3 linked regions of the Mus musculus genome follow. The protein of the gene in region 1 interacts with the protein of each later gene in a pairwise test. Links are inferred from orthologs where the notes say so. Each region holds a gene or a part of one and is shown on either strand. Other genes may lie near its edges.

What was found. The genes of interacting proteins can lie anywhere in the genome.
Region 2: the proteins of Xrcc4 (region 1) and Aptx interact in binary tests that used the Homo sapiens proteins (3 or more experiments, as listed by UniProt). The link is inferred for Mus musculus from reciprocal best matches to the Homo sapiens genes XRCC4 and APTX.
Region 3: the proteins of Xrcc4 (region 1) and Aplf interact in binary tests that used the Homo sapiens proteins (3 or more experiments, as listed by UniProt). The link is inferred for Mus musculus from reciprocal best matches to the Homo sapiens genes XRCC4 and APLF.

What each region holds. Positions count from the first base shown.
Region 1 is NC_000079.6:90,086,809-90,090,927, forward strand, and holds the start of Xrcc4 (DNA repair protein XRCC4), read right to left. Parts: upstream 2,801-4,119; 5' UTR 2,689-2,800; intron 2,672-2,688; exon of another isoform or gene 2,202-2,671; intron 1-2,201. Other genes in the region: Tmem167 (protein kish-A precursor), read left to right, coding at 2,973-2,975.
Region 2 is NC_000070.6:40,693,195-40,696,694, forward strand, and holds part of Aptx (aprataxin), read right to left. Parts: intron 2,230-3,500; coding exon 2,183-2,229; intron 1,943-2,182; coding exon 1,658-1,942; intron 256-1,657; coding exon 196-255; intron 1-195. UniProt on the Homo sapiens protein: DNA-binding protein involved in single-strand DNA break repair, double-strand DNA break repair and base excision repair.
Region 3 is NC_000072.6:87,641,162-87,644,661, forward strand, and holds part of Aplf (aprataxin and PNK-like factor), read right to left. Parts: intron 855-3,500; coding exon 729-854; intron 1-728. UniProt on the Homo sapiens protein: Histone chaperone involved in single-strand and double-strand DNA break repair.

The DNA.
Region 1 (4,119 bases):
GTGACAGCAGATGCTGGTGAGGTTGTGGAGAAAGAGGAACAATTCTCCATTGCTGGTGGGATTGCAAGCTTGTATAACCACTCTGGAAATCAGTCTGGCAGTTCCTCAGAAAATTGGACATTGTACTACCGGAGGATCCCGCAATACCTCTCCTGGGCATGTTCCAACTGGAGCTGAGAGGAAAGGATGGACCATCCAGACACTGCCCCACCCAGCCGTCCATCCCATTATCAGCCACCAAATGCAGACACTATTGTACAGGGGAAACACCAGGGCCAAGAAGTGGGAGTTGGTGGATAGGAAAGCGGGGTGAGGGGTGAGGGTATATGGGACTTTCAGGATAGCATTTGAAATGTAAATGAAGTAAATACCTAATAAAAAATTGGAGGAAAAAAAAGAAACCTCAAATAATATCAGTATCAGAAATCAAAAACAAATGGGAAATGTAGAGAAAGTGGCCTGGCTGCATAAGAAACTAAATGAATTTTAAACTTTTTATTGTATAAATAGCATCTAACAATCAAACAATTTTCCATCATTAGCCCTCCACTCAAGGATGAAAATTCAATGTTCACTATAATGCTTACAATGTATCAAACAGGTTTTAATTATTTATATGTATTATGGCCTAATTTATATGTAACTATGGCCTAAGCTCAATGCACTCTTACAAAAACTATAAATTTCTCATTTTATATACAACTCTGGATTTTATGAAATGAAAATTGAAAATATTCTTCCACATTCAGAGAAGACAATAATGTCTGCATAATTGAATAACACAGTCAAGATCTTTTCTTAACAGTAAATTAACCCATGATGATTAGAAATGAAAATCACAGCAGAGCTACTAGAAGTGGAAATAAAGAAAAGGAATTTAACATGGTGATTACCATTCACTTGCAACAAAAAACACAATCAAGGATTTTGTGTGCCGAATCGCCATGCAGCTTCCCCACAGGTCACACTGGTATATTAATTTTGCTATTTTACATGGATATAATAAATTTTTTATATATGTATATGTATACACACACACACACACGTTCAACTCTACCTCCTGACACTATGTACTTCTATGGATAACTTAAGAATTGAAAAGTGTTGCCAGCAGTGGTGGTGCACGCCTTTAATCCCAGCACTTGGGAGGTACAGGCAGATGGATTTCTGAGTTCGAGGTCAGCCTGGTCTACAGAATGAGTTCTAGGACAGTCAGGGCTATACAGAGAAACCCTGTCTCGAAAAACAAAACAAAACAAAAACAAAGAACTGAAAAGTGTTAATTGCCTCTATTCTAAAGTTGAGATATATAAGAAACTATGGCCTAAATTGCCCATAAATACAACAAACCAATTACCATCTTAAACAACCTTAGCCTCTTTACTAGAGCCTGGACCAGAACCTCATACAGAAACATCAACCTGAAGTGTCAAACAGTAGGACCTAGCAATCTTTATATGAATAGAGTCAGTTATAACATCTACCAACACTTTCACTACTGTAAAACCCAAACTTACTGAGCTCAGAACATATTTTCTACGTCTACATTTGAAACATTCATGGTTAGTCAACTTAAATAGTAAGTATAACACAAAGCAATTTTGAGACTATTCAATGACAATCACTTCTCCTATTGGCCTAATCCCCAGTCCCCCATTCAAATACTCAAAGAAATCCCTTGTCCTGCAGTCTCCTGATACCACTAAGATGCAGATTCTGAACTTGAGTATTTGATCAACAGGTTTAGCAGTTGGGTATAACTGATTTTAAAAATGTAGTAATAATTTCAAATAAAATCTTGGATGACAATGCAGTAATAAACACAATCACATATAGCATAGCACTAGGTAAAAGTACTGTGTTGCCATAAGTACTAGATTCTCATGATTCAGCTAAATAATGGTTAGAAATTAACATATCACATCAGTTTCCTTCACTAAAGCTTTCTATACTTCTTCTAGGTCATTAAGTTAAAGAATGGGTAACATTCTGAATAAATACTAGAGCCATACTGACTAAAGGAAAAAAACAATTATTTAAACACACAGGATTTCCATAATTTTGATACACTTGGAAGAGTGGGGAAAGTGCCCGACTTCAGAATCATTCCAAGAATGTATATAAAATTGAACACATCAGATTACATCTTCCCCGTATCTACAAAACTCATAAAGAGAACTAGAGGTGAAATCGTTTCTCACCCACTGGTTTTATACTAGCCAAATAATCCCCTCGGGAATGGGCCGTTCCTTTCCAGTAGCTACCACAGAGTTCTTTCCCTCTCCCCACGGCCTAGAACGTCTAAGCCCCGGATGTAGAGTGTGCAAACAAGGAGGGGGCCAGCCAAGGCCAGCATTGGCTGGCGGGAGGGGCTGGTGGGTCATCACACTGGACGCAGCCTTTTAAATCCAAGTCTCCACCACAGAGCAGCTCAGCACAGTTCCAAGGAGTCCCTCACGACTGAAAATTCCACGTGACACAGAAAGAGACACTTAGGAAGGAGCCCAACAGGTGCTCACATTGGGAAAACCTTACATCTACAAAAGGCTCAGGGGGTCACAGACAGGGTAAAAAGCACGCACTGCGCAGCTTTAAAGCTAAAATCAGGGACTACAGGAGGTTGACATAGAAAGGGGGGAAAAAATGCATTGCTTCTGGAAAGACACCACAGCCACTTCCGGGCCCTACCTCTCAGTACTCCACTTCCGGTCTTCTAAAAATTGTGGACGCCAGAGATAAACCGATGCGCCCAATGAGAGAATCCGCTAATACCGTGGTTTGCGAGTCGTCGGCCAAGTCCCACCTCTTCCGGTAACAGAAGCCTATCACGGAGTCTGAATGGTGCGGCATGGGCGGAGGCGCCGCGATAGGTCCAACCGGACCGCTGGAGCGAGCGGGAAGCACAGCGGGCCTGCATCCTCTTCCGCCCCGGCCCGGAAGGGTGATGTGGCTGGACCAGCACCGGCCTCACTATGGTAAGAACCTGGGCTTCCTGGCCGCGGTTGAGTTTCTCGGCGGGGCCGCGGCTCGTGCGGGGCGGCGGGGATGGTGCGGGCGCTGTGGGGCGCGGGAGCCCTGGCGCTAGCGTGATTCTCCGGGGATCCGAGGGTGCACAGGCTGGGAGTCATGCGGCCGCGATGCACATCCCGGAGCATCAGGCCAACAGTCCTAGGAAGAACCCGGGTGGTGGACTCGGCCCCTCGCCAAGAGGCCGACTTGCTGCGTTGTTTAGTGTGGAATTACGGTGGCATTCCACTAAGCCGATTGCCATCTGCTACAAATATCTGGACGGATATACACTTTCAAACGCTGGAGTCTCAGTCTCCCCCTTTCCCCTTTCTTTTATGTGTTCCCTGTGTCACCCAACCTGCATCTTTCTGCAGTAATTAATGGATTGCCGGTTTTCTTAACACTAGATACTACTGCTTCCGTTTTACCTGTGGAATCAATGGCGAGATAGGGCCCCTCCCTCATCGTTTTTTCAATTCTAAAGACACTTCTTTGCAAACGAATGTTTTTAATGATTTTAGTTACTGTCTCGAAGGAACTTGAGCCTTACTCGCAGACCACCACTCACTTTGGGAGTTCCTATGCGTGTTATTATTGATTGTTTAATAGTTTAAACCTCAGAAAACCTTACACTATAAATCACAAATAGCAACAACAACAAAGGTCAGGACAAGGAACAGAAAGCCCCTGAGTAAAGTAAACATTAGTAATTAACTTTTAAAGATCTATGAATGCATCTTTTCAGTAGTCTGGTAAATGCAGGAATCTCCCTTCACTATCACTTCAGTGGGTTTAGAAGCCATTTATAACTATATTTCTAGAGAAAGCTTGTTGTGTTATCATCTCAAAATCAGCCAGGACTCTCCCACCCCCACTAGACCTCAAATTCTACGATTAGAAGATACTGAATTTGAGTCCATTAAAGCCTTTTTTTTTTTTTTTACTTCGTACTGCAGATAGTATATTCTTGGTCAAAAGGATGTTAATAAACAGTTACAGAACTTGAAAAGTTGCTTTCTTGCCTATTTACCGAGAAACAAGTAGAATGACTTTGCTCTTAGTCAAAGGTACATTTTACATCCTCTCCTACTTAGATAAAATCAAGATAAT
Region 2 (3,500 bases), on another chromosome or scaffold:
AGTGTGGGTATAGTATAACATTTAGAGAAGAGACCAAAAATGTAGTGTTAAGTGATTCTTGTCCTCATAGACCAGTGCAGTAACAGAATCCCACGAGGAAGAGCTGGCATCCTTTGGCTTCATCTATAGTTACCACGTTAGTAGCATGCTCATGGACTCTATGACAGACACTAAAGTATACAATTTTATTCTGACCTGCATTTTGGGGTCTTTCATAGACATCTTCAAGCCTTGACTCCAGTGGCCCAGTGATTCCTAAATAAAAAAACAATGTAAATGAGAATGCCAGTAATGAAATGTAGCTAATACTACTTATCAGCAGCGTCCAAATGAAACATGGAAGGAAGGTTAGCTTTGAGAATGACACTAGGCTTCCTTTGCTTCGGCCCATCGCCCTTTAGGACCACAAGCTTCCCCACCATCTTCTACATCTAGACCTGGGTGTAAGGATGGAGGCCTGCCATGGAACTTTGTCCAATGTGCAAGGATTGCTACCTTGACTAGGAGCAGCTAATATTACCTGAGTAAGACGGTGGCAGTACTGGGCCAAATATTCACTTACTGGGAGATGGACGAGGAGGGAGGACACACAAGCAGCTATCAGCTGCTGGAGAGGGAGCCTCCTCTCTGATAGAGTAGTCACACTTAAGCTGCCCAGGCCCCTGTAACCACGATTAGACTCGATGGTTTACCAACTTAAACTTGGGTGGCATGGTTGGTCTGTCATTAGTGCCATATCTGGGATGAAGAGAGATCCATTCACATCTCCCCAGGAAAAGCTCCATAAAGCCAAAACTGCCAGTTTTAAATCGTCCTCCTTGCCTGCTTACACTCCAGCTGCAGCCTACCCAAGTGTCTCCTTTGACATCAACATGTGAAAAACTATCTATGAAGGCTTCAGTGTTAACCGGTAGGTAGACAGGCAAATGACCCATTTTAGTATTAAACGTTAATTATACTATAATGGGAATAGATGTGTAAGGAGTGGATGAAGTCCTGAATGAATGTGTGTTGTTGCCATGACCAGTCATGGAGAGAACTTCAGTGCCTAGATGGATAAGGCCCAGAGGGATGACAAACCCCTCCTCTGGTCCAAGTGGTTATAAATGGCTAGCTGTGCAGTGCATGCAGAAGCCGTCAATCACAACTCCTCCTGCAAGATGTTTATAGCCTGAGACTGTTCCCTTACAAAGACCTCCTACCAGAGTTACCTAAACCTGTCTCCCTGTTCAGCTATACACAATAAAGCCACCTCCTCAATTCAGATGTATAAAACAACCATGCTGAGTTTCCGGGCTGTTGGTGGTGCTGCAGCTCCATTAGGTAACAGAGCCTACCCATTTCCAGCTTCTCTGTATGTGTGTCTGTCCTTTTTTCATTCCCTCACTAAGCTGGGCAGGGTGTGTCACACTGTCATTACTGACTGCCCTGTCTTTCTTCAAGTGGTTTACCTCAGGAACTTAATAGAAAAGAATCTAAAGGGACATTCACCAAGTGATTTTCAGGCCACAAACAAGTGACTCTTTCATCATGGTTAAGAACCCTCATTAGATTAATACCATCTCACTGTGTACAAACAATGTACCGTGTACACAACAATTAAGCAGTCATTATGTCAATTCATCTCCACAGCATCTTTCAAGCACACCATTCTCACCTTTTTGGTGGCTCCATTCTTGTCCTTCTTAGGGGACACAGAGCACTGGCTGGGGCTGCTCCCAGGTGCCAGCCCTGTCCCAGACTCAGCTTCCATCTCCTCACTATCACAGTCTGACCTCTTTCTCTTCCTCTGTGTTAGGTTAGGGCTCTCTGCCACTTCCTCAAACTCTACGATGTATGGATAAAGTCCATTCACCATGTGGAGAACCTGACCAGGCAGCAGCTTCTTCTCTTGGTCCTTCCCGATGACGCCCGAGTCAATGCTGGTGGGGTTGACCCCCATCTGTGGATACACCGTTATAATGTATAATGTATAATGTATAATGTATAATGTGTAATAGCAGTAATGCCATTGGTGATAGAGCTGGTGCTATATTAACTGCTTACTCTACCTGCCTGGCACTCACTCTATCACTTCCCCATGACAGAGGAGCGTTCATCAGCTGACACAGACAGTCGAAAGCAACGGCATAAGAAAACTATCGAGTATAAAACTGGAGAAACAAGGCGCGAACACACATACCTGCTGTACTTTGACATATCCCTTGTTACACTCTGCTTTCAACTGTACTGAAAGAAATAAGAAAAATTAAACACAAATGCAACCAAAACTGGGTACTCTGCTGTCCCCAAAGGACAACAAAGCTTGACTGCTGCAGTCAACCCCCAGCTGAGCCTGTTCTGCTTGTGCCTGGGCCTACAAATCCTACCAATTTCTAATAGCTTCAAACCCTTCCATAAACTGTCCATCAGCGAGCTGGCCATGGTGGAAATCTCAGACTTGGAAAGTAGAGTCCAGATTAGTTCAAGGCCAGCCTTGGCTGCCTAGCCAGTGTGTGAGGTCAGTCTGGAATATGTAAGAATATCTTAACTGCTCATGTGCAACTGCTCATGTGCAACTGCTCATGTGCAAGCACATGCATGCGCGCGCGCACACACACATATTATATTAGTGCATGTATTCTGTTACCTACTGCTAATATTCTGGCTGAAACCCTGGGGTGGTGAGGGGAGTGGAGGCTGGAAAGATGGCTCAGTGGCTAGTAGTACTCACTTGCTTTTCCCAGAGAGCCTAAGCTTGGTTCCCAACACTGGGCGGCTCATTACCACCTCTCACCCTAGGTCCAGAGCAATCTGACGCCTCCGCCTCCACAGGGAACTGAAGTCAAACATACACCCACACAGATACACATGTAATTTTAAAATAATAAAAATAAATCAGAAAAGCAAACAAGTGCTCAGTGTCTTTCACTCTTTGAAGCTGGTTGCAGTGGCACACACCTTTAAATCCCAGCACCTCAGAGGCAGAAACAGGAGGAGCTCTGTGAGGTAGAGGCCAGCCTAGTCCATATAGTGAGCTCCAGGACAGCCAAGGCTACAAAGTGAGCCAGAAAGAAAGAGAGAAAGAGAGAAAGAGAGAAAGAGAGAGAGAGAGAGAGAGAGAGAGAGAAAGAAAGAAAGAGAGAGAGAGAGAGAGAGAGAGAGAGAGAGAGAGAGAGAAAAAAAAAGAAAAAAAACTGTGAGGCAGCTTTCATGAACCCCTACGGACCCCTAGGCAGCTCGGGATCACAGACTGCCAACAGGAGAAAAGCTCCTGCTCATGATTAGATAAGCTCCTACTATTGGGGAGAAGGAGAACCTACCTAGAGCTGGGGCTGAAGCTAAAGTAGGAGAGGGCTTCTCTAGCATGAGCTTCAAGACAAGGAACATTAGCATCAAGTGACTTCAACAGAGAAAGAGGTAGAAGATAGGATCTCGGGAAACAGAAGTCCAAGCTAGCCTGAAGAAAGAATGTTCAAGAAAGCAATGCAGAGCCCCAACTCTAAATCCAGAACCTTAGG
Region 3 (3,500 bases), on another chromosome or scaffold:
GCTTGGAGCATTTGCAGAATACATGCGTAAGTGCCCTGCTCTGCTCAGTACAAACAGGCTATCTGCATCAACTTTATGGTAGCCAGAAGATTCAGTCTGTAACCTGTACTCAAGATCACCTAGAAACAAACCGCTGTCTGCAGTAGAGTTCCTTAGGTTTGTTTTGTACTTGATTTTGTACTTTGGTTAAGTTCAAGTTCATTCACCTAATAAACAAGGTTTCAAAATACCAAGACTCCTTTCTGTCAATGTAACGTGCATGCTGCCTGGGTGGGGAGACATTCTGGTCAAGAAAGACTGTGGTGTGGAGAGGTCTACTCAGCCTGAGGAGGAGGCGACAGCATGAACGAGCAAAGGGAAGGCTCCCGAGTTCTTCAGCTGTGCCTGAGTTCTGGGTGTTGGCAAGAGGAGTAGATTAGTAGAAGTTGAGGAAGCAGAAATAGAAATTAAATCCCCAGTAGGCTTATATCACACCTCAGAGTCTTCATAGAACATGTATTAGGATGTCTTATAAGTTAACCTGATTGCATTTTAGACAGAAATACAGAAAAACTTCAGTTACCTATAAGATTAACAACAATTTAGGGTTACATGAGAGAAACTCTGTGTTCCACATAAACTTAATAAAATCTATGCTGTAGGCTTGAGATGGGGGCTCCAGTCAGGCCGTCTGAGCTGGCTAAGAAGCGATTAGGGAGAAGGGCAGCCACATGGCGCAGCCTCCTTACCTGTAACAAGACGCTCCATAGGGACACTCGGGCCTGTCACCAATCACACCTTCATCTGTGCCATGTACCTCTCCATAGTCACTGTCACCAGGGTGGCTGAAGTGTTGAAAGTGGAGGGGGTTCCTCCTGTGAGGACGATAAACTTGCTGTCAGAGGAAAAACAATAGGAAGCTATGGGTTTGTAATGGCTGTGAGCGAGGCCAACCAGTATCTTTATTCCAGAAAGAAACCAAATTCCCATGTTGATGACGTAAACACAGGTGAGATCCCCATGCCATGTTGTCCACCAACTTGACATCTGGTTGCTGGAAAATGGTCCAGGAACGCCGTCCTGTGAGAACAAACACTGCGAGGAAACAGAGTCTTGTAGTTTCAGTTTATTCAAAACACAGAACTGATCTTGAAGGTGCGTCTGTGCTCCTCCCAGGTGTAGCAGGTAAGAGTGAGGTTACTTCCAATCACTCATTATTGCTTGCAGCTGCCAGTCAATGAAATGTTTAGAATATCCTTTCTACCTCTATGGAAACACGTTTTCGCCGTGTGCAGCCAGTTCTTGTAATTGTGTTCAGACTGAACTCTCGAGAACGTAACTCCTGTGGCCTTTCTTACCCCACAGTACACACTGTCTAGGGTTCTGAATAAAGTCGCCTACCGCATGAGACTTTGGTCCATTTCAGTATGGGCTTCATTTTCCCAGGTCCCTTCCTCTCTCGAGCAGGAACACTGAGTCAGCCCAGGACTCTCAGTGTCACATGATCAGTGACATGTATAAAAGGTCGATTGTAAGCATTATATTGTTCATGTAGGTATACAACAAACATAAGCATCTATAGCCTTAAAAGACCGTGCATCCTATGCTAAGATAAAAACATTCAACATTCTAGAAAGACCCAATGTTTCTGATCTTTAAACTCTTTTGCCTACACAAAGTATACTATCCTGTTTTCTAAAACTATTTTCCAAACTCTTTGGTTCCGGCCTCTCTTATGGCCTTAAAATTTATTACTAGAATTTGAGTGCCCTCTGATTATGTGGGGGGATTGCCCTGTATAAATTTAAAATGAGAAATAAGAAAAGTACACTTGTTTATTTAAGATAACAGTGAAAATGTCTTTTCACATATTATAAATAACATCTTAACATCTTTAAAAAAAATCTTCTTTACGTTTATTTATTTATCTATATGGGGGAGGGGGAGTTCACTCTTTCCCTGGACTATGTGTGTTTTAGGGACCCAACTCAGGTCATAAGGCTTGGTGGCAAGTGCCTTTACCCACTGTCTTGGTTTGCTTTCTATTGCTGTGATAAGATGTCATGACCAAACATTAACTTGAGGATAAATGGGTTTATCTCCACTCACAACCTAAGAAGGTCACACTTCATCCTGGAAGGAATCAGGGCAGGAATGTTGCTTACTGGCTTGCTCACCCTTCAAGGCTTGCTCAGCCTGCTTTCTTATACAACTCAAGACCACCTGCCCAGGGTTGACACTGCCCACAATGTGCTGAGCCATCACACAGCAATCAATCAAGAAAATGTCTCACAGTCTCACCCATAGCCCAACTTCATGGAGGTATTATTTCTCAATTGAGGCTCCCTCCTCTCAAATGACTCTAGCTTGTGTCCAGTCGACAAAATTAATGATGATGATGATGACGACAACAACAAAAAGAATTATCTAGCATAGCCATTGAGTCATCCTACTGGCCCTTATATACTCTTTAATGCCAATATAAAATTCATGAAGATGTAATGCATGCTTAAGAAAAGGCAGTTGGCTTTTCCTTGTTTCTGCATTTGATCATTAACAACAATAATGTTCTGTGGTCTCTAGGGAATTCTACTGCATACTTATGAGAACCACATTGTAAGCATCATACCATTTGCAGAGAAATGGAGGGAACTGCAAACCATCGTGTTATGTGAAATGAGTTAGACAGAGATGGACAAATACTACACTTTTCTCAGATATGGAACCTATACTAGGGGGCAGGGGCAGGGAGGACAGGCGTTTCGGGCCATTAAACTACAAAGAGGCTGAAGAGGGAGTGGATCTTCAGGCAGAAGTGAAAGAGTCAGGGTGAGGTAACAGCCGTGGAACGAGAGCAGGAAGGGGTTATTTGGGAAGGGAAGGAACCAGCAAGTTAGGGGAGGTAAGAGTTGCACAGAGAGCTGGGCATGGTGGTGCATGCCTTTAAGCCCAGAACTCGGAGTCAGAGGCAGGAGGATCTCTGTGAGTTCGAAGCCAGCCTGGCCTTCACAGCAAGTTCCAGGACAGCCAGACCTATACCATATATAGGAAGACTTTGTCTCAGAAAACAAAAAGGACAAAAACAAACAAACAAAAAAACAAAAACAAAAACAGAAAACAAAAAGGAGCACAGAGGACATCAGAGGGGATACATTATAATAAATTATAATAAAATATATGCAAATATCATAGTAAACCCCATTTGTATATTAATTTTTAAAAATTTAAAACACAAAACAAAGAGGAACGTAAATTTAGAAAATATAGAGACTTGGAACACTATCCATTTGATAGAAGGGAGAGTTTACAGCAATAACACGGAGGCTGAAGAACAGGTAGATTTTTGTAATGATTTTATAGATATGTACATGTGTGGGTATGGGGTATATCTCAAATTCAAAATGCCATTCTCCCCCCACCTTGTTCATAAATATAAACATTTCAATGAAAGTTACTTCTTCTCTTTGTTACAAATACAAACATTTTGATTTAAAAAAATTTCAGGCATTCTTTATTTCAAA